Linked DNA regions of Macaca mulatta. The main gene of each other region encodes a partner of the protein of the gene in region 2 in a complex. Links are inferred from orthologs where the notes say so. Each region holds a gene or a part of one and is shown on either strand. Other genes may lie near its edges. The genes, in order: SF3B3, SMU1, ZMAT2 and IK.

The links.
Region 1: SMU1 (region 2) and SF3B3 share a complex: the UniProt entries of both Homo sapiens proteins name them as parts of the spliceosome B complex. The link is inferred for Macaca mulatta from reciprocal best matches to the Homo sapiens genes SMU1 and SF3B3.
Region 3: SMU1 (region 2) and ZMAT2 share a complex: the UniProt entries of both Homo sapiens proteins name them as parts of the spliceosome B complex. The link is inferred for Macaca mulatta from reciprocal best matches to the Homo sapiens genes SMU1 and ZMAT2.
Region 4: SMU1 (region 2) and IK share a complex: the UniProt entries of both Homo sapiens proteins name them as parts of the spliceosome B complex. The link is inferred for Macaca mulatta from reciprocal best matches to the Homo sapiens genes SMU1 and IK.

Annotation. Positions count from the first base shown.
Region 1 is NC_133425.1:69,309,934-69,315,561, forward strand, and holds part of SF3B3 (splicing factor 3B subunit 3), read right to left. Parts: intron 5,118-5,628; exon of another isoform or gene 5,027-5,117; intron 4,796-5,026; coding exon 4,658-4,795; intron 4,027-4,657; coding exon 3,923-4,026; intron 22-3,922; coding exon 1-21. UniProt on the Homo sapiens protein: Component of the 17S U2 SnRNP complex of the spliceosome, a large ribonucleoprotein complex that removes introns from transcribed pre-mRNAs.
Region 2 is NC_133420.1:66,323,321-66,328,537, reverse strand, and holds the end of SMU1 (WD40 repeat-containing protein SMU1), read right to left. Parts: intron 4,091-5,217; exon of another isoform or gene 3,297-4,090; intron 2,668-3,296; coding exon 2,515-2,667; intron 1,799-2,514; coding exon 1,700-1,798; 3' UTR 1,313-1,699; downstream 1-1,312. UniProt on the Homo sapiens protein: Involved in pre-mRNA splicing as a component of the spliceosome. Regulates alternative splicing of the HSPG2 pre-mRNA. Required for normal accumulation of IK.
Region 3 is NC_133411.1:149,548,136-149,552,529, reverse strand, and holds the end of ZMAT2 (zinc finger matrin-type protein 2), read right to left. Parts: coding exon 4,296-4,394; intron 2,446-4,295; coding exon 2,302-2,445; 3' UTR 1,399-2,301; downstream 1-1,398. UniProt on the Homo sapiens protein: Involved in pre-mRNA splicing as a component of the spliceosome.
Region 4 is NC_133411.1:149,502,168-149,507,198, reverse strand, and holds the end of IK (protein Red), read right to left. Parts: intron 4,497-5,031; exon of another isoform or gene 4,478-4,496; coding exon 4,399-4,477; intron 4,125-4,398; exon of another isoform or gene 4,120-4,124; coding exon 4,039-4,119; intron 3,485-4,038; coding exon 3,427-3,484; intron 2,282-3,426; coding exon 2,193-2,281; intron 2,000-2,192; coding exon 1,891-1,999; intron 1,720-1,890; coding exon 1,685-1,719; intron 1,597-1,684; coding exon 1,569-1,596; 3' UTR 1,418-1,568; downstream 1-1,417. UniProt on the Homo sapiens protein: Involved in pre-mRNA splicing as a component of the spliceosome. Auxiliary spliceosomal protein that regulates selection of alternative splice sites in a small set of target pre-mRNA species. Required for normal mitotic cell cycle progression.

The DNA.
Region 1 (5,628 bases), on a different chromosome or scaffold from region 2:
TGTGCAATTTGATATAAGTAACTGGGAAGAAGCAGAGAAGAGAAACTTTCGGTAACGAGTTCTCTGCCTGACGATAATGTCTGACATCAATATAAAGCACAAGCTATTTGATTATATTAAGATACTACTGTTATTATTTTTAGGTGTTAACATTAAGTAAGATAGCTAGGATTTGTTTCAAAACAATTCAGGGAGAAGATCTGGGAAGTGCAGTGAGTGTTTTATTTACAGCACAAGCAACAAAGAAAACACAGATAAACTGGACTTTATCAAAATTTAAAACTTTCATGCATCAAAGGAAGAAAGTAAGATGACAACCCACCAAATGAGAGAAAATATTTGCAATTCATATTTCTAACAAGGGTCTAGTACCCAGAACACATAGAGAACTCAAATACAAGAAGACAACTCTTAAAAAATGGGCAACGGGATTTGAATAGACATTTCTCCAACAAAGATACACAAATGGCCAATAAACACAAAAAGATGCTCAACATCAGCCGGGCACGGTGGCTTGCGCCTGTAATTCCAGCACTTTGGGAGGCCGAGGCAGGACGAGGTCAGGAGATCGAGACCATCCTGGCGAACATGGTGAAACCCCCTCTCTACTAAAAATACAAAAAAAATCAGCCGGGCAAGGTGGCAAGCGCCTGTAGTCCCAGCTTCTCGGGAGGCTGAGGCAGGAGAATGGCGTGAACCCGGGAGGCGACAGAGCTTGCAGTGAGTGGAGATCGCACCACTGCACTCCAGCCTGGAAGACAGAGCAAGACTCCGTCTCAAAAAAAAAAAAATAGATGCTCAACATCACTCATCCCGGGGGAAAGGCAAAGCTACCACTTCATACCACCACTGCATACCTAGCAGGATGGCTATAATCACAAATGTGGAAAACAAGTCAGCAAGGATGTGGAGAAACTGCAGCCCTCATATACTGCTGTTGGGAATGTAAAACGGATGTAGCTGCTTTGAGAAAGTTTGGTGGTTTCTCAAAAAGTTAAACACGGAATTACCATGACCCAGTAATTCCACTCCTACATATACACTCAAAAAAATTAAAAATGGGGACTCAAATAGGTATTAGCACAGCAACATCTACCACAGCATTACTCCCAATTGTGAAAGGTGGACACAATCCAAGTGTACATCAGCAGTAGAATGGATAAACAAAATACAGTATGTACAAACAATGAGTAATTCTGCCATAAAAAGGAATGAGTTCTGACACAGGCTACCAAAACATGAATCTCCTTCTTTTTTTTTTTTTGAACATGAATCTTCTAAATATTATGCCAAGTAAAATGAGCTAGATACAAAGGGACAAATATCAGCCAGGCACTGTGGCTCAAGTCTGTAATCCCAGCACACTGGGAGACTGAGGCAGGTGGATTGCTTAAGTCCAGAAGTTTGAGACTCTACAAGAAATACAAATATTAGCCAGGCATGTGCCTTGCTAATTAATAGTCCCAGCTACTTGGGAGGCTGAGATGGAAGGTTAACCTTGAGCCTGGGAGGTTGAGGATGCAGCAAGCCGAGACTGTGCCCCTGCACTCCAGCATCCCAGAAAACAGAGTAAGACTCTGTCTCAAACAAACAATAACAACAAAAAAACCCAAAAAGCTAAGAAGGCTCGGCTAGGCACGGTAGCACACGCCTGGAGTCCCAGCACTTCGGAAGGCCAAGGTGGATGGATTGCTTGAGGTCAGGAGTTTGAGACCAGCTTGGCCAACATGGCAAAACCCTGTTCTCTCCTAAAAATACAAAAAAAAATTAGCTGGGCATGGTGGCACACACCTGAGTCCAAGCTACTCAGGAGGCTGAGAGAGGAGAATCGTTTGAAGCCAGGAGGTGGAGGTTGCAGTGAGCTGAGATCACTGCACTCCACCCTGAGTGATAGAGTGAGTCGATCAAAAAAAAAAAAAAAAAAGGCCCAAAAACCTGAAAGGTAGGTGTGGTGGTTTAAGTTTACAATCCCAGCACTTTGGGAGGCCAAGGGGAGAGGATCGCTTGGGTCCAGGAGTTCAAGACCAGCCTGGAAGACATAGTGACACCCTATCTTGATTTAAAAATGAAAGAAAAAAGTCACTGAGGAGTAAAAGGCATTTTATTTAAGATTGAGAGAATAGCTAGAAACAAGGCAGAAATGGCACAAAATCCTAGACAGTATTTTAATTATGAAGAAACTGAGCACTAGATTAGTAAAGTGGTATGACTACACTTTAGCAGATACTGGCAAGACCATGTCACCTTATCTTGTGTAACTTGTAGTCTTAGACAGTGGTCTTAAATTTGAGGCTAGAATTCAGATTTCTTCCATTTGGCAATGAAAAGCCACTTATGATTATGATACAGGGATAGGGGAAATTATTTATTCAAGGTTGTCTTGTCTGCTGGATTAGATGATGCTACAAAAGGCTGAGTTTTACAGGAAAGGCAATGAAATAAAAAAACTAGTGAACTAGTTCAGATTAGCATTACGAAAAGGGGTACACAGGTAAAAACAGAACTTAGCACATGACTGAAAGCGGTGGACAATAAAAAAAATTTGAGATTTCACATTTTAGTTGCTATAACTAGTCTATTAGACACTAACAGAAATAGTGAGGATGGGAGGGCTGCTGATATGGGTGGGCAGCTAAGCGCTGGTAAGCTTCAACCCTAGATAGGTACCTGTCAAGTGCTTATGGAACATCTCTTTAATAGTAAGTATTTCATTTTTTTATTTAATTTTTCTTTTTTGAGACGGAGTCTTGCTCAACGCCCAGGCTGGAGTGCAATGACGCGATCTCGGCTCACTGCAACCTCCAACTCCCAAGTTCAAGCGATTCTCCTGCCTCGGCCTCCCAAGTAGCTGGCATTATAGGCGCCCGCCACCATGCCCGGCTAATTTTTGTATTTTTAGTAGAGACAGGGTTTCACCATGTTGTCCAGCTGGTCTCGAACTCCAACCTCAGGTGATCTGCCCACCTTGGATTCCCAAAGTGCTGGGATTACAGTCGTGAGCCACTAAGCCCAGCAGTACTTAAGTATTTCAATAAGTATTTATTTGATGAAATGGCCGGGCGCGGTGGCTCACACCTATAACCCACCCACTTTGGGAGGTCGAGGCGGGCGGATCACCTGAGGTTGGGAGTTTGAGACCAGCCTGAGCAACATGGAGAAACCCTGTCTCTACCAAAAATATAAAATGACCTGGGCGTGGTGGTGCATGCCTGTAATCCCAGCAACTCAGGAGGCTGAGGCAGGAGAAGCGCTTGAACCTGGGAGGCGGAGGTTGCAGTGAGCCAAGATCACGCCGGTGCACTCCAGCCACAACAAGGGCGAAACTCCATTTCAAAAAAAAAAATTATTTGATGAAATGTTCAGCCAAAAACTCAGAAGAGACATCAAATCTAAAGATAGTTCTGGAGATACCCACAGAGGTACTGACTGAAGCCACTAAAATAAAGGAAGGTAAGACAAAGAAAGACTCTAAAGGGAGAAAACAAACTTTTCTTTTGAAAGAACTAACACATTCTTGTGAAAAGCTCCAAGCCTCAAAGTCACACCTTCCTACTATCAACCCTTTTTTTTTTTTTTTTTTTGAGATACAGTTTCATTCTTGTTACCCAGGCTGGAGTACAGTGGCGTGATCTCAGCTCACTGAAACCTCCACCTCCCGGATTCAAGTGATTCTACTGCCTCAGCCTCCCGAGTAGCTGGGATTACAGGTGCCAGCCACCACACCCAGCTAATTTTTGTATTTTAGGTGGAAATGGGGTTTCACCATGTTGACCAGGCTGGTCTCGAACTCCTGACCTCAGGTGATTCACCCGCCTCGGCCTCCCAAAGAACTAGGATTACGGGCGTGAGTCACTGCACCCAGCCTCTGCTGCCAACTTTTATCGCAACCAGGGTGAACTAGGGTAACAGAAGGATTACTCACTGGTTTCCAAATTCTGATGCTACAAAAAGGAATCCTGTTTTAAGCACACACATAGCAGCAGCAACTGGTACAGTATCAAAATACTTGAGCCGGATCTCAGTAACCTGGCGAGAAAAGAAACATTCTGGTGTACAAACAAGTGAAGTGAGCCCCATATTATAAGACAGCACAGGCTGAGTAGCAAATAAAATACTGTATTTCATATCTGACCAGGGGACAGCAAACTCCAGCTCACGGGCCACTCATGTCAATTATTACTGGCTGTGGCTATCTTCGTACGTAACGGCAGAGTTGAGTAGTTGAGACGGAGACTACGTAGCTCACAAAAGCTGCAAATATTTACTATGTGGCCTTTACAAAAACATGTTTGCCAATTCCTGATCCAAACAGCTACCTAAGAAATTGCCCAACTATTCACAGAGCTCGTCCATAAGATAAAACTAGTAACAGATCACGTTTATTACCAGTTTTCAGTAGAAACAGAGACCTTTATCTTCTTCACACCAATTATTACCACCTAAAAATAATCACTACAAGTGGCATTACCACTCTTATATTGTATGTAAGATTACCAGACAAAAAAATCTAATAACCAGAGAGAAAAATCTATACTCATATACCGGTTCCAAAGGCAACTACTTTCTAATTCCCATTATTTTAACTTGTAAACTATTACCTGTCTTGCCTATCTCATCTCATAGAGTAGCTGTACTGGTCCTTCCATGATCTACTTACCATATCTTCATCTGTCTCCAAAGTGATCTTAAAGATATCTCCCTGCTCAGTTTGAGCCAAAAAGAAGAACATCGATTTGGTCTTATGGGTTGCAGAGCAAACAAAAATCATTCCTCTTTCAGGGTCATCCAGGTCATTCTAGCAAAGTGAAAAACACAAACACATTCGACGTCTTAGAAATGGGTACTTCTTAGTTCTAGAATTCAGCACTTTACCAATAGGGATTACACATGACATTAAAGGCCTAAAGGCACAAGCTTTGATCCAGAGTGTCCTGCCAGCCAGAACACTGGAACTCCACAGCTCAAAATTCTCCTGCTACAAATATCTAATAAACTCTGGGTAACCAAAAGAGTCCCAATTTCACTACAGCCTGATCAGATCCATAAGGCAAAAATTATCTCCAGAGAAAAATGTCTGAGAAGAGACATGAAATTTAAAGAGTCATCATTTCAGGCTGTGAATGAAGCACTGCTCCATCCAAACTACCATGTTCTACATCAAATGCCTGATTCCTAAAAGGCACCTTCTTAGATATGATTTTGAATTTTTTTTCTTTCAAAACAATGTCTCACTATGTTGCCCAGACTGGTCTCTAACTCCTGGGCTCAAGGGATCCTCCCGCCTCAGCCTCTCAAGTAGCTGGGGATCAGAGGAACACCACTGCGCCTGGCTTGCGTTTTTTAACGTTTTCAACAGTCTATTTCTCTCACCGAGTAAGTTCGGCAAGAATTTTAGACTTTATTATTGCAAAGCCAAGTACGGTGCCTGGCATAGTTAGGTCTCAACGTCTAATTAACTTAGTGACTTCCCATCCCTTAACAAGAAGAATTTAACTTGCCAAATTTCTTCTAAGGTTTTCTAATATTGATGGAATCTTACATACTACGTATTAAATTAAATCCTAAAGTTCAACTCCAGGACAGATAAGTATTTAACAGCAAATAAATAATCCAGGGGTGAGGGGAGAG
Region 2 (5,217 bases):
GGAGGCCGAGGCAGGCAGATCACCTGAGGTCAGGAGTTCAAGACCAGCCTGACCAACATGGTGAAACTCCCCGCCCCCCCCCAAACTAAAAATATAAAAATTAGCCAGGCATGGTGGCATGTGCCTGTATTCCCAGCTACTCGGGAAGTATCAAGAATCGCTTGAACCTGGGAAGTGGAGGTTGCAGTGAGCTGAGAGGGCACCATTGCACTCCAACCTGGGCAACAGAGCAAGACTCCATCTCAAAAAAATAAAATAAATTTTTAAAAAAAGTAAATTACAAGACTGCAAAACTTTAAAAAAACCTTCCCCATTAGTTTGTACCTAATAAATGCTAACATTTAAAAGGGGGCACAAAAGGCCTGTGGAAACAAGAACTCACATTCTTGAAAGTAGTGCCTAGCACAGTATCTTCCTCATCATCAGAGGTGCTCTATACATCTTTAGTTGAAACATGAAACAGACATCCATATGCAAAATATTTTCAAGGGTTTTGTTGACTTTTACATGTTTTTCTTTAGCTAACTGGTAATGATGCACATTACAAAGGAGACTTTTCTAAATCTCAAGTACTTTTGCTAATTTTTCTTTGAAACAACAGCACATTTCCAATGCCAAACCATCCCCTACAACGTACAAAGGGGAGATGACAAAACTCTGAATTCTTGTAACGGATCCTGCAACTAGTTCTATTCAGAAGATGGAGACAATATTCCCTGGAGTTGATTGAACATGTGAGAAGGCACAGCTCAGAAGGAGAGGAAAGCTGAGGGCAGTGAAATGAGAACCTATGCATCACCTGGCCTTTTTACATGTTAGTCTATCCTACTATCCCAGGAATTCACTTCTGCTATACTTGAGATTCGGGGATAATAATGTCACTCCTCCTCCCAAATTCTAAGTAAATATGTTAACTAGATGAGCATTTATTTACATTTTAGAACAAAGTCTCCAGAAAGGTATAAAGTTTATTAACATCTTCAAAAAAAAAAAGATGGGCTGGGCATGGTGGCTCATGCCTGTGATCTCAGCACTTTGGGAGGCCAAGGCGGTTGGATCACTTGAGGTCAGGAGTGTGAGACCAGCCTGGCCAACACGGTGAAATCCCATCTCACTAAAAATACAAAAAAATTAGCCAGGCATGGTATCACACACCTATAGTCCCAGCTACTCAGGAGGCTGAGGCAGGAGAATCGCTTGAACCTGGGAGGCGGAGGTTGCAGTGAACCAATATCGTGCCGCTGCACTCCAGCCTGGGCAACAAGCAAAACTCCATCTCAAAAAAAAAAAAAAAAAAAAAAAAAAGATGGAACAGAATACAGCTACTGAATATGATATAGTTCCTTATTTACAAGTTTTACTATAGGAGGGACATTTTAATCAGCATTTCAAATAATCAAAGGAGTAGAATTTTTTTCTAGAAAATCGGTATTTCACTTTCCAGGTATAAGATTAATGAAAACATTAAGTGACTGCACCAGTTAGAAGATAAACTAGTACCTTAAAAATATATTAAAAAAAGGAAGGGATACTTGCTACTTAAACATGAATTTTCACAAAATTATTCTTGTGACTAATTCAGACAATCTATTTGCTTAGAAAAGTGGGCCAAAAAAAAAAGAAAGAAAAAAAAAGCACATTACATGACTATGCCTTCATTTAAGTATGTGCTTTCACTGATTTAAAAAGGAAAGTTGAATTATGGTTTCCAGAGCTTTAGGAGTCCATCTTCACTGTAGGTAGCAATCAGGTTCTGATGAGGGTGATGTGCAATACCAATCACATCCTTCTCGTGCACCTGGAACACGTAAAGCACAGGGTTAGGGTGTACAGATCTGCAATAAATCACTCTGATGACGCTTCCAGAGCTGGGTGGAAGGGAAAGAGATCAAGGCCTGATATTCCAAATGGCATAGGAGAAAGATGGAGGAAGGTTTTCCAACTCACATCACATTGTGACATAATAAGAAATAAACTTTAGGCTGGGTGCAGTGGCTCATGTCTGTAATCCCCGTACTTTGGGAGGCGGAGGCAGGTGGATCACTTGAGATCAGGAGTTCAAGACCAGCCTGGCCAAGATGGTGAAACCCCGTTTCCACTAAAGATACAAAAAATTAGCCAGAAGTGGTGGCATGTGCCTGTAGTCCCAGTTACTCGGGAGGCTGAGGCAGGAGAATCACTTGACTCCAGGAGGCAGAGGTTGTAGTGAGCTGAGATCACACCACTGCATTCTAGCCCAGGTGACAGAGTGAGACTCCTTCTCAAAATAAAATAAAATAAAATAAAATAAAAAATAAACTTGTTTAGTGTTAAGCCACTGAGATTTGGGGATCATCATAGCAGCTGACATTAATTTTACTTCTTGAATTTAACATGGAGCTAAATGTTTTAAAACAATGTTTTTTATACTGAGGGTCACATTGATAGTAGTCTGGAAAAGGCACATACTTCAGAGTTCAGAAAGACACAAGTCTTACCATATTTCTTTAGATGAACTTAGTAAGTAATACTCACTGTCAAAGTTCTCTCCAGTTTGCCAGTGACCGTACTGAAACAGTAGAGCACAAAGTCCTCCCCTACACAGTAGATCCATTCACCACGGGGAGAGAGGGCACAGCAAACAAAGTCCCCACCTTCTCTTTTACCAGAACTGAAGCTTCTGACAATCTAGATCACACCACACCCCAAGACAAAAACATCAGGATTAGTAGCAGCTCAACCATGTGCAGCCTTTTCAAGTGACATTTTTACGTTGTTATTTTGCACTTTGGTTTACTATCATTTGTAATTAGATCTCCAATCCTGTTCAGCATGTGCTAACTCCCCATGCCTGGGAAATATTCAATAGATAAGTAATCTAAACTAAATGGCAGACAAAAATTTAGAATTCATACATCCCACATCACCAATCATGCCCTAAAGAGACATATTACCCTTAAGCAAATTTCATTGCCATACATAAAACAATTTTCTAAATCAATATACCAGTAGTTCTCAAAGCTTTCTGGATGTCTGCTCCCCAGTTTCCTCTAACAGAATGAGAAGCTTTCCCCATGCAGGATGATACTTTGTCTCTAAGACTTTGCTTGCTCTATTGATACAACATTAAAATCATCATAAACCAAGCTGAGAGAAACCAATCCGAAAAGTCTACATACTATATGCTTCCATTTCTATACCATTTTCAAAATGACAAAATTATAATAATGGAAAACAGATCAGTGATTGCCAAGGGTTAGGGATTGGAATTAACTTGAATTTAAAACATGATACCATTTACATTAGCAGCCCCAAAGTGAAAATACTTAGGTATAAATCTACCAAAATACATACAATATTTAAATGAGGAAAATTACAAAATTCTGATGAATGATATCAAAGAACTAAACAGAGAGATAGTCTATGTTCATGAATTGGAAGACTCAATATGGTAAAGACATCAGTTCTTCCCAACTTAATCTATAGATTTCACACAATCCCAATCAAAATCCCAGCAAAGTATTTTGTGGATATTGACAACCCAATTCTAAAGCTTACACAAAGAGGCAAAAGACCCAGAACAGTGAACTCAATATTGAAAGAGAAGGACAAAGTTGGAGGGCTCACAATAACCAACTTCAAGATTTACACAAAGCTATAGTAATCCAGACAGTGTGGTATTGGTAAAAGAACAGATCAATGGAACAGAATACAAAGCCCAGAAATACACTCAACTGATTTTTGACAAAGAAGCAAAAGCAATGTAATAAAGAAAAGATAGTGTTTTCAACAAGACATGCCATGACTGGACATTTATATGCAAGAAAATGAATCTAGACACAATAAAATAAAGACCTTACAGTCTTCACAAAAATTAACTCAAAATGGATCACAGACCTAAATGTAAAACTCAAAATTGTATATAAAACTCTTAGAGGAAAACAAAAAAGAAAATCTAGACGATCTTGAGTTTGATGACTTTTTAGATACAATTCCAAAGACACGATCCATGAAATAACTGATAAGCTAGATTTCATTAAAATTAAACACTTCTGCTCTGTAAAAGCCACTGTCAAGAAAATGAAGCCAGATGCAGTGGCTCATGCCTGTAATCCCAGCACTTTGGGAGGCTAAGGCGGGAGGATCACTTGAGGCCAGGAGTTTGAGACCAGCATCAGCAACATGGCAAGACCCCATTTCCACACACACACACACACACAAAGTCGGGCATTGTGGCACATGCCTGTACTCCCAGCCACTTAGAAGGCTTAGGCAGGAAGATTTCTTGAGCCCAGGAGCTCAAGGATGCAGTGAGCTATGACCATGCCACTGCATTCCAGCCTGGGCAATGGAGCAAGACTCTGCCTCAAAAAAAAAAAAAAAAAAAAGGAAGAAAATGAAAAGACAAGCCACGGATGGGGAGAAAATATCTGTAAAAACTAGATTTGATAAAGAACTATTATCCAAAACATATAAAGAACTCTTAAAATTCAACAGCAAGAAAACAACCCAATTGAAAAATGAGTCAAATACCTGAAACAGACACTTCGCCAGAAGTATACAGATGACAAATGAGCACACGAAAAGATTTCCACATTTCATTAGGGAAATGCAAATTAAAATGAGATACCACTACACACCTATTAGAATGGCCAACATCCAGAACACTGACCACACCCAGTGCTGGTGAGGATGTGCAGTAACAGGAACTCTCATTCACCAAGGGTGACGATACAAAATGATACATCCATTTTGGAACAGTTTAATAGTTTCTTACAACTAAACATACTTTACCATACAATCCAGTAATCACACTACTTAGCATTTACCCAAAGAAAGAGAAAACATATTAACACAAAAATCTGCACATGGATGTTTATAGCAGCTTTACTCATAATTGCCAAAACTTGGAAGTCCTTCAGTAGATGACTGGATAAATAAATGTTATTCAGCATTTAAAAAAAAAAAAGCCGGGCATGGTGACTTACGCCTGTAATCTCAGCACTTTGGGGAGCCAAGGTGGGTGGATCACGAGGTCAGGAGTTCAAGACAAGCCTGGCCAAGATGGTGAAACCCCGTCTCTACTAAAAATACAAAAATTAGCAGGGCGCAGTGGCAGATGCCTGTAATCCCAGCTACTCAGGAGGCTGAGGCAGGAGAATCACTTGAACCTGGGGGCCAGAGGATGCAGTGAGCTGAGATTGCACCACTGCACTCCAGCCTGGGGGAGAGGGTGAG
Region 3 (4,394 bases), on a different chromosome or scaffold from region 2:
CCTCCAGCCTGCCTTGAAAGGGGTAACAAAAGACCTCGTCAACAACAAGACTGTCACCCAAGGGACCTGAAGTGCACATAATCCTGCCAAGAAAAGCACCCACCAATCTGCCCCCATTGCCCAATACTTACTGTATCTAAAACTTTGAGCCAGGCCTTGAGCCCACAGGTGAAGATACATTCATGGTGTTCCCAGTGGTAAGATTCAGCATCACATGTTTACAGTAAGGGAATTTTGTACAAAAGTCCAAAGGGAGGTGTATGATGCTTTGTGGTTCAGATACTACAGAAAGGTGAAGAGCTTGATGGGGCAGAGAATGAATACCAGCTATATGGTGGCAGCCTTGTTAACCCAACGGATCCATTTTTTCAGGGTATAGAACCAGCAAGAGTTACAGGTTTCATCTGCTTGAAGTTAATGTGTTAAAGTTAATAATTCTCCGTGTATGTATGACTATTTTTTTTCCTCTGCATCCCCTGGACTTGGTACAGTACTTGATCCAGTGGATATCAAAGTTTTGTGAGTTTCTGTACTGAGTTTACCAGTCTGTGCCATCTAATTCTCAAATTAGACCAAGGTAGGGAAAACAGCTAGCTGCTTCTCAGTGGATTTCAATGTGGGTAGGGAGGGATTTTGCCTTTCTCAGGGGCATAGACATTTTTAGTTGTCACAATTGTGGAAGAGGGTGCTACTGGCATCTAGCAGGTAAAGGCCAGGGATGAAGTTAATCCTAAATCAAAATCAAAATCATAAACACCCTACACTGCACAGCATTGGTTTCTACAACAAATGATAATCTGGCCCAAAATATCAACAGTGCCAAGATTAAGTAATCCTGTGTCTAGCAGACAGTAAGAAACACACTAAGGGCAGGGTGCAATGGCTCACGCCTATAATCCCAGCACTTTGGGAGGCTGAGGCAGGTGGATCACCTGAGCAAGGAGTTCTAGACCAGCCTAGCCAACATGGTGAAACCCCATCTCAACTAAAAATACAAAATTAGCCGCTTGAAGCCAAGAGGCGGAGGTTGCAGTGAGCCAAGACCGCGCCACTGCACTCCAGACTGGGCGATAGAGCAAGACTCTCTCAAAAAAAAAAAAAAAAAAAGAAAAAGAAAAAGAAAAACACTAAGTTCAATCCTGAGCTCTACTGTTCCAAAAACAAAAGATCAAAGGAGTCTGAAATGATAGGAATAGTTTTGGTTCAGGCTCCTCTGGACACAGATCCCTTACCAGAGGAAAACATAACTCATGCTAAAAAAAAAAAAAAAAAAATCCTAGGCAAAAATAAGATTTAAAATGGAAGAATAAAACACTCTATGGAAATCCTCAGCATGAGAAGGAAAAACAAATATTCACAGGCAAAATTATGGAATGTTCCCACCAAATGTAAAACAGGCCCAGTCAATGCCATTTATTATACATGTTGAACAGCTTCTAAGACCCAAGGGCTCCCATAATAAGGTTTTGGGGATTTTTTGTTTTGTTTTGTTTTTCATTTTCTTCTTTGCATCAAACAGGTTCTTCCAAAAGCCTGCTCACAAGGAAGACAAAAACAGAAATCCTCAGGAAAATGAAACAAGAGAACCTGAAACAATCTACACCTGAATGTTAAAAAACTCATCAGACACAAACCACACCAAACACTCATCCCATTTAATTTCCTGTTACATGCTCTGAGGAAGCCAAGAACATCAGGCCCCAGGGCAGCAATGCTCTAGGATTCCAGCTCAGGCCCCCTCTATGTGACAGATTCATGCACACACATCCACACACCATAGAACCAGGCAGAAATACACATGCATGCACAGGTAGCTAGAGAACCATAGGGCGGGATGGGAAAAAGGGCTGGTCAAGGATATGCAATCAACTGGAAACTGGGACCTAGAGAATGCTTCTGTTGCAGGCTGAACATGAGATAAAATTAAAACAAAGGCATAACACAGGATAAAGTTGGGATGCTCAGACAAGAGGCTGGATAGATGGAGAGATAAAGATGCAGGGGGAGTTTTGGGAAAGCAGCCTCAGAAGGGGAGGTTTTTCTTTATTGGAAACTCAGGTGGGCAGGGGTCCTATGACTCCAGCGATATACTGAGGCTGAAGCAATATGCCACAGCATTACCTCTGCAATCTGTGCCCTCTCCCAAAGTAGAGGGAAACCATGAGCCCCACCCTCTATCCCTCCCCATTGACACTCTTAAGAACTTTCCCATCACCCAAAAAGAAATGACCCCCGACTACACACACACACACACAAAGTTAGGTCCAGCATAGGCCCAAGTTAGGCCAAGCATAGAAAGCCTCAGTAACTCTTCTTGGTGGAACCAAAGCCAGAGAAGCCCATCACAGCTGCCATCTCATCGTCCTCCTCAAATGTCAAGTCCTCCTCAGCCCTCCTTTTCTTCTCCTTCTGTTTCTCTTTCTTGTATGCTTTGGCCTTTTCTTCCTGGAGGGAAAAATCACTCAGAATCAGTTTAGACTCCTCAGCCAAATGTTACTGAAAAAGACATGAGTTTCAAGACTCCTTTCTATCTTTAGGAGAAAGTACTTAAGACAAGTAAAATCTCAAGGACAGAGTAAAAGCCAGAGTAAAAATTATAAAGGATAACAAAAAGAAGTTTTAGCCTCTAGAGAGAAGTTCTCAAGCCTGCACTCTAGTTCATTTTTTTTTTTTTTTTTTGAGAGAGTCTTGTTCTGTCGCCTAGGCTGGAGTGCAGTGGCACAATCTCGGCTCATCGCAACCTCCACCTCCTGGGTTCAAGCAATCCTCCCACCTCAGCCTCCCAAGTAGCTGGGACTATAGGCGTGTGCCACTGCACCCAGCTAATTTTTGTATTTGTAGAGACAGGGTCCCACCATGTTGCTGGGGCTGGTCTTGAACTCCTGGTCTCAAGTGATCCATCCACCTTGGCCTCCCAAAGTGTTGGGATTACACGCGTGAGCCACTGCGTCTGGCCCCATGTCATTTCTAGTTCCTGACAGGGTTATGACAGCAAAACCATATAATAGCAACTGACATTCTGGGGCATGCAGTACATGCCAGAAATTGCTCTGAGTACTTCATGCATATTATACTAAGATCTCTAATATGGGGATACTGAGGCACAAAGAGGTTATATAACTTGCCCAAGATTCACAGCCAGTAAGTGGAAGAAACAGAATTCTGACCCAGTCAGCCTGATTTCATGGGCCTCCTTAGGACTAGGTACATTTAGTTAATTCCTCTTGTAGTTAAAAAAAAAAAGTATGGAGGAAGCTATGCATGTTGTGGGGGACAATGGGTATATGGGAAATCTTTATACCTCCCTCTCGATTTTGTTGCAAACCCAAACTGCTCTAAAAAAAGTTAAGTCTTTTTTTTTTTTTTTTTTTTTTTTTTTGAGACGGAGTCTCGCTCTGTAGCCCAGGCTAGAGTGCAGTGGCCAGATCTCAGCTCACTGCAAGCTCCACCTCCCGGGTTCACGCCATTCTCCGGCCTCAGCCTCCCAAGTAGCTGGGACCACAGGCGTCCGCCACCTCGCCCGGCTAGTTTTTTTTTTTTGTATTTCTTAGTAGAGACGGGGTTTCACCGTGTTAGCCAGGATGGTCTCGATCTCCTGACCTCGTGATCCACCCGTCTCGGCCTCCCAAAGTGCTGGGATTACAGGCTTGAGCCACCGCACCCGGCCAAAAAAAAAGTTAAGTCTTTTTAAAAAATTAAATCAAAGAATACAGATGAGAGTCCTCAACTTACGATGCTCTGACAAGATTTTTCAGTTTTACAATGGTGCAAAACTGACATGCATTTGAAACTGTACTTCAAGTATCCATATAACCATTGTTTTTCACATTCAGTACAGTATTCAATAAATTAATGAGATGAATACTTTATTATAGAATAGGTTTTGTGTTAGATAATCTGGGTCAATTGTAGGCTAATGTGTTCTGAGCACATTAAGGTAGGCTAGACTAAACTATGGTAGGTTAGGTGTATTACACATTTTTGACTTAAGATATTTTTAACTTGATGATGGGTTTATCGGTAGGTAACCCTGTCAGAAGTTGAGAAATATCTGTATCGCCAAAATAAATAAATAATAAGGCCCACAGAGTCCAGGACAAAAAAGTCGTTTCAGAGCCATTTCCTTCAGATCATGAGAATCCTAAACAAAGGCAACAAATGTTTCCGCTAATATACAGAACTCAGGAGATACAACTCTGGGGCTGGGAGTAGGAGTGGGATGAGGACAGGGTCTCCCATGATTCATAACATAAAACTCAAATCTGGGGCAGAGGGGAAGACTAGGAGAGGCTTACCTCTTCTCTGAGCTCCTTCATCCTTTCCTCAAAATCATAATCCTTCTGTTTCTCTTCCATCTTCTTCTTGTTGACCTCAAAACGTTTCTTCACCTGATC
Region 4 (5,031 bases), on a different chromosome or scaffold from region 2:
AGGTGTGAGCCACCGCGCCTGGCCAATTTTTGTATGTTTTATAGAAACTTAACTCTCACTGTGTTGCCCAGCCTGGCCTTGAAGTCTTGACCTGTCTTCCCGCCTCAGCCTCCCAAAGTGCTAGGATTATAGGCGTGAGCCACTGCGCCCAGCCTCTTCTTTTTTTAAATCAAGGTTTTGCTGTCACCCAGGCTGGGAATGCAGTGGTGTGATCATAGCTCACCACAGCCTTGAACTCTTCGGTTCGATCCTCCTGCATAGCTATAGGCTCACGAACTCCTGGCCTCAAGCGACTCTCCTGCTTTGGCCTCCCAAAGCACTGAGACTGTGGACATGAGTCATCGAGCCTGGCCTCAGAAACTGAATTTTAAACCAACAGTCAACCCCCAGGTCTTGCTTTTAGTGACTCTCCAGATGTCGTCTTCTGTGCCATGTCTCTGTGACCATTTTTAATAATTGGGACTGCTGCCTACATCCATGGAACCATGGTGTCATTTGTCTGAAATTAGCCATTCTAGGTGCTAGTGCAGCAAGGCCCAATTTCAGCCTCTTATGTGCAATGCACAATGCTGGCTTCCTCAAAAATACCTGTCCTACCAAGGTGAATACAGTCAAAGACAAGGCAATGGCTAAGGTGACTTTCTAGCTTTCTTGGATGTGGTGAGGCCACAAATCTTGGGCTCAGGGTAGACAGTGGCAGCCTGGCATCCAGCCAGGAAGCAGTAGTGACACCTAATGATGCGCACCAGACCAAAGTGCTGGTAAGGAGCAGAAAGGAAGAACAGGGAAAGGAATGGTGTGATTCAAAGGCCAACAGACTATTCTGGGGCTTGGCAAATGTTTCAGGGTGATGAAGGGCACCAAACCCTTCTGGCCTAGGATAGGAATTCCTGTACCTGCAGGGCCACACTATATCAGCTCTAAACCCGAAGCACTTCCCTAAGGTTACACCTTTAGCCAAGGAGGCAGTGATTTGTACTCAACATTAATAAAGCTCATAGGAAGACATAAACTCATAAAAGGTTTTGGTTCTCACCCGTAAGTGATTTTCATTAGATGCCTTCATCCAGAGCCCAGTCCTTCACAGCCTGGGGATCAGATTAGCAGCCCATTAGGCTGACTGCAGGATCCAGGAAATCTTTGTCCAGGGACTAGGCCTGAAGATGGGCCTGAATGAGTCTTACATTTGAAACCAATCATCCTTACATTCCTCTATCCACCTCTTGCCCATCAGTGAGGATCATTATTCCCTTCTCTACTGGGCACACTGGCTAGAAAGCATCCTTCATGTCTAGCAATCTAGAACCACAGCTCAGGAAAGGACTGATGGCTTTCTGCATGTGATTCTATGTAACCAGTGGAATTAGTGTTCTTGGTGCTTCAAGGGCACTGGAGGGGGCATGCTCAACAGAGAAGCTAGCAAGTTAACCAATTTTAATGGAACCAAGTAATTACACAATAAAATTTTATATTCATCCACCAAAAAACATCTTGCAACCTTTGGAAATTGTATAAAGAAAACAGTGGGAAGCATATCCTTGTGGAGGGTCTCCGGTTGTAACTGGTGATTAGTATTTTGGTCTTTTGACTTCAACCCTGCAATGGAAGGAGAAATGGGTCAGCATAAGATCAATACACTAAGCAATTCCCACCAGTCCCCCAGAGGAAGAATAATGCCACTCACCCATCAGCTTCCATCTTCTTCCTCTTCTCAATGATCTGCAAAAGGAACAGGATAGTCTATCACCAAGCTGCCCATCTAAGCTCACCTGAGGCCCAAGGCTGACCTCTCATTTCCATGGCTCTCCAGCCCCTTGCCTGTTCCTGAATCTGTAGGCTAATGTCTTCTCCCAGCTGAAACCCTCCCACCCAAGGGACCATCCTACTTACTGCACTAATCTTCTTCCACTGGCGATCAAGCTCTGCTTTGTCATTGGTTTCCTTGAAGCGCCTGGTTTTCCGCCCTTCAGACATTTTGATACCATACTGGAATGCAGCCCTGAAAAAAAGCACAGTTGGCAAAGAATGCTTCAGAGACTGCATAGCAGTGGTGAGGTTTTCCCAGGGTCCTGTGGGCAAAGAACTTAATTGGGAATATCTCAGCCAGACCATACCCTCTAACCTTATGTGCACTATTCCACCAAATCCCCACAACCCTCCTCACACCTTGCCCATATTCAGTACCGACTCACTTGGGCAAAGCCTCTTTGTTGTTCATATACTCGCTGTATTCTTCCTGGGTATCAAAGTCCCAACGGCCTAAGGGCCCCTTCTTGTTACCCTGTTGCAGGACAGAATGGGGGGACGGGGAAGGAAGAGATGTCAGGGAAAATGGAATTTCAGCCCTTGATTGAAGCCAGACTCTCCCATAATCCCAGGTTCCACAATTCATAAATCATACCCTGATATGTAATAATAAATGCCTATTACATACTATGTGACAGGCATTATTCTGTACACTAAATGCATTATCTCATTTAATTCTCATTAAAAAATCTATGAAGAGGGAACTACACTTCTCTCCATTTCCTGATGAGGAAATTGAGGCATAAACAGTAAAAGAACTTGGCAAGTTCACAAAACTAATAAATGGTAGAGGCAGGATTAAACAAGGCTCCAAGATTAAACTATGCTATTTCAATACAAAGAACTCAGGGGACGAATAGAGATTTCTTCACTATTAGTGGCATTAGTGGTTTTTTCTTTTTAATTTTGCTTAAGACTTAGAGGAAAACTTCAATCCCGGCTAGAATAAAATTTAGTTATTTTCCAAAGACTGCAATTTTTTTCTGCCCTTTCTACTTATGCATTGATGCTTGCTTACTGCCTACCATGGGAATCAAAGCGTGGCACTTTGCTATAGGAAATAAAAAATAGATTTTTGACCCTATGTCATTTGATCTTGTGCAAAGACTCTGAAATAGTTAAGCTGCTCATGACCCTCAATGCTGCTGTTTCTACTGCTGCAACTGGAGGAGGGTGGAGCCCAGTAAATGAGACAGATTTTTTAGGAGTGGGGAAGGAGATATATGTAAAAAAATATAATAATAATAACTACCCAGGCCGGGCGCGGTGGCTCAAGCCTGTAATCCCAGCACTTTGGGAGGCCGAGATGGGCAGATCACGAGGTCAGGAGATCGAGACCATCCTGGCTAACACGGTGAAACCCCGTCTCTACTAAGAAATACAAAAAATAGCCGGGCGAGGTGGCAGCGCCTGTAGTCCCAGCTACTCGGGAGGCTGAGGCCGGAGAATGGCGTGAACCCAGGAGGCGGAGCTTGCAGTGAGCTGAGATCCGGCCACTGCAATCCAGCCTGGGCTACAGAGCGAGACTCCGTCTCAAAAAAAAAAAAAAAAAAAAAAAAAAATAATAATAATAATAACAACAACTACCCAAAGGCGCCCACCATCCTTCTAACTACATACCTGGTCCATTTTGCTATAATCCACCTCCTCATCACTGTCCACAGCCATGTCATCCATCCTAAGGAGAAGCAGGAGTTAAACAGTTAAACACCCTGACCCTATGCTTCATCTGGAAACCTACCCGACTAAGAGGCTATCTGCATAGGAATGACCACCCCCTTGACCTCCCACTCAAAGCCTAATAAAATAGTTCATCCAAGTAAGAAGTAGCCTTGGGCCAGGTGCAGTGGCTCACTCCTGTAATCCCCACACTTTCAGAGGCTGAGGCAGGCAGATTACTTGAGGTCAGGAGTTCAAGACCAGCCTGGCCAACATGGTGAAACTGCATCTCTACTAAAAATACAAAAACTAGCCAGGTGTGGTGATGCATGCCTATAATCCCAGCTACTTGGGAGGATGCAGCAGGAGAACTGCTTGAACCCGGGAGGTGGTGGTTGCAGTGAGCCGAGATTACGCCATTGCATTCCAGCCTGGGCAACAGAGTGAGACTCTGTCTCAAAAAAAAAGAAAAAAAAAAAAAGTAGCCCTGGAACTTAGCAAATCAAATTTCCATTTCACCCCCAACTTGTTCCCCAATCATCCAGCCTCCTTCCTTAACCAGGTTTCACATACGTGGCTGGGTAGCACTCTGCATAACTGTTGGACATGCCAAAGAAATCTCCCAGCTGCTTTTTGTCTTCTGGTTTCTTCAGCATATGCTATGTTAAAGAAAACACTAGACAGGATTCCACCTATTGCTGCAAAGCTTCAGCGAGGAGGGACCAAGGGCTAGAAGCCCCAACATGAAAATTCTGAGAGGGCTGTGAGCTGTTACGGGTGCTCTAGGAAGGAACAAGGGATGGTTTCATTCTGTCAAAATTCAGCATAAAAGGGAAGGAGTGGGGCGGGGTAGGAGGGAGCCGGCAGGCAGAGGGGGTTGGAGTAAACAGATCAGTTCTCTAGAACCCAGGAACACATTAAAATAAAGGATATGATTCTGTGCCTTCCCAGCCAGTAGACCCAGCAAACTTTTCATTGATGGACTTGATCAACTCCTTGGCAGACCCAGGTCCTAGGAGAAAAAGAGAACTCTGCCCAGACCTTGAACTGAGGCTCTCACAACCTCCTCCCCACAACACACTTAAGAAACATTTTTTTTTTTTTTGAGACAGAGTCTCGCTCTGTCGCCCAGGCTGGAGTGCAGTGGTACGATCTTCACTGACTGCAAGCTTCGCCTCCTGGGTTTACGCCATTCTCCTGCCTCATCCTTCCGTGTAGCTGGGACTACAGGCGCCCGCCACCACGCCTGGCTAATTTTTGTATTTTTAGTAGAGACGGGGTTTCACCGTGTTAGCCAAGATGGTCTTGATCTCCTGACCTCGTGATCCGCCCGTCTCGGCCCCCCCGTGCTGGGATTACAGGCGTGAGCCACCGCGCCCGGCCTAAGAAACATTTTTTAAGGCATAGAACCCGTTTGTCTGACAAAGTCTTAAACAAACTCCAATAAATAATGAGTTACTCTGGTTGAGATTAGGGTAGGGTATCCAGAACATTCCATACTTGACCTCTACCTCACCTCCTCAGAACCCCAGGGCCACAGGAATTATATCTAAGACCAAATATGCC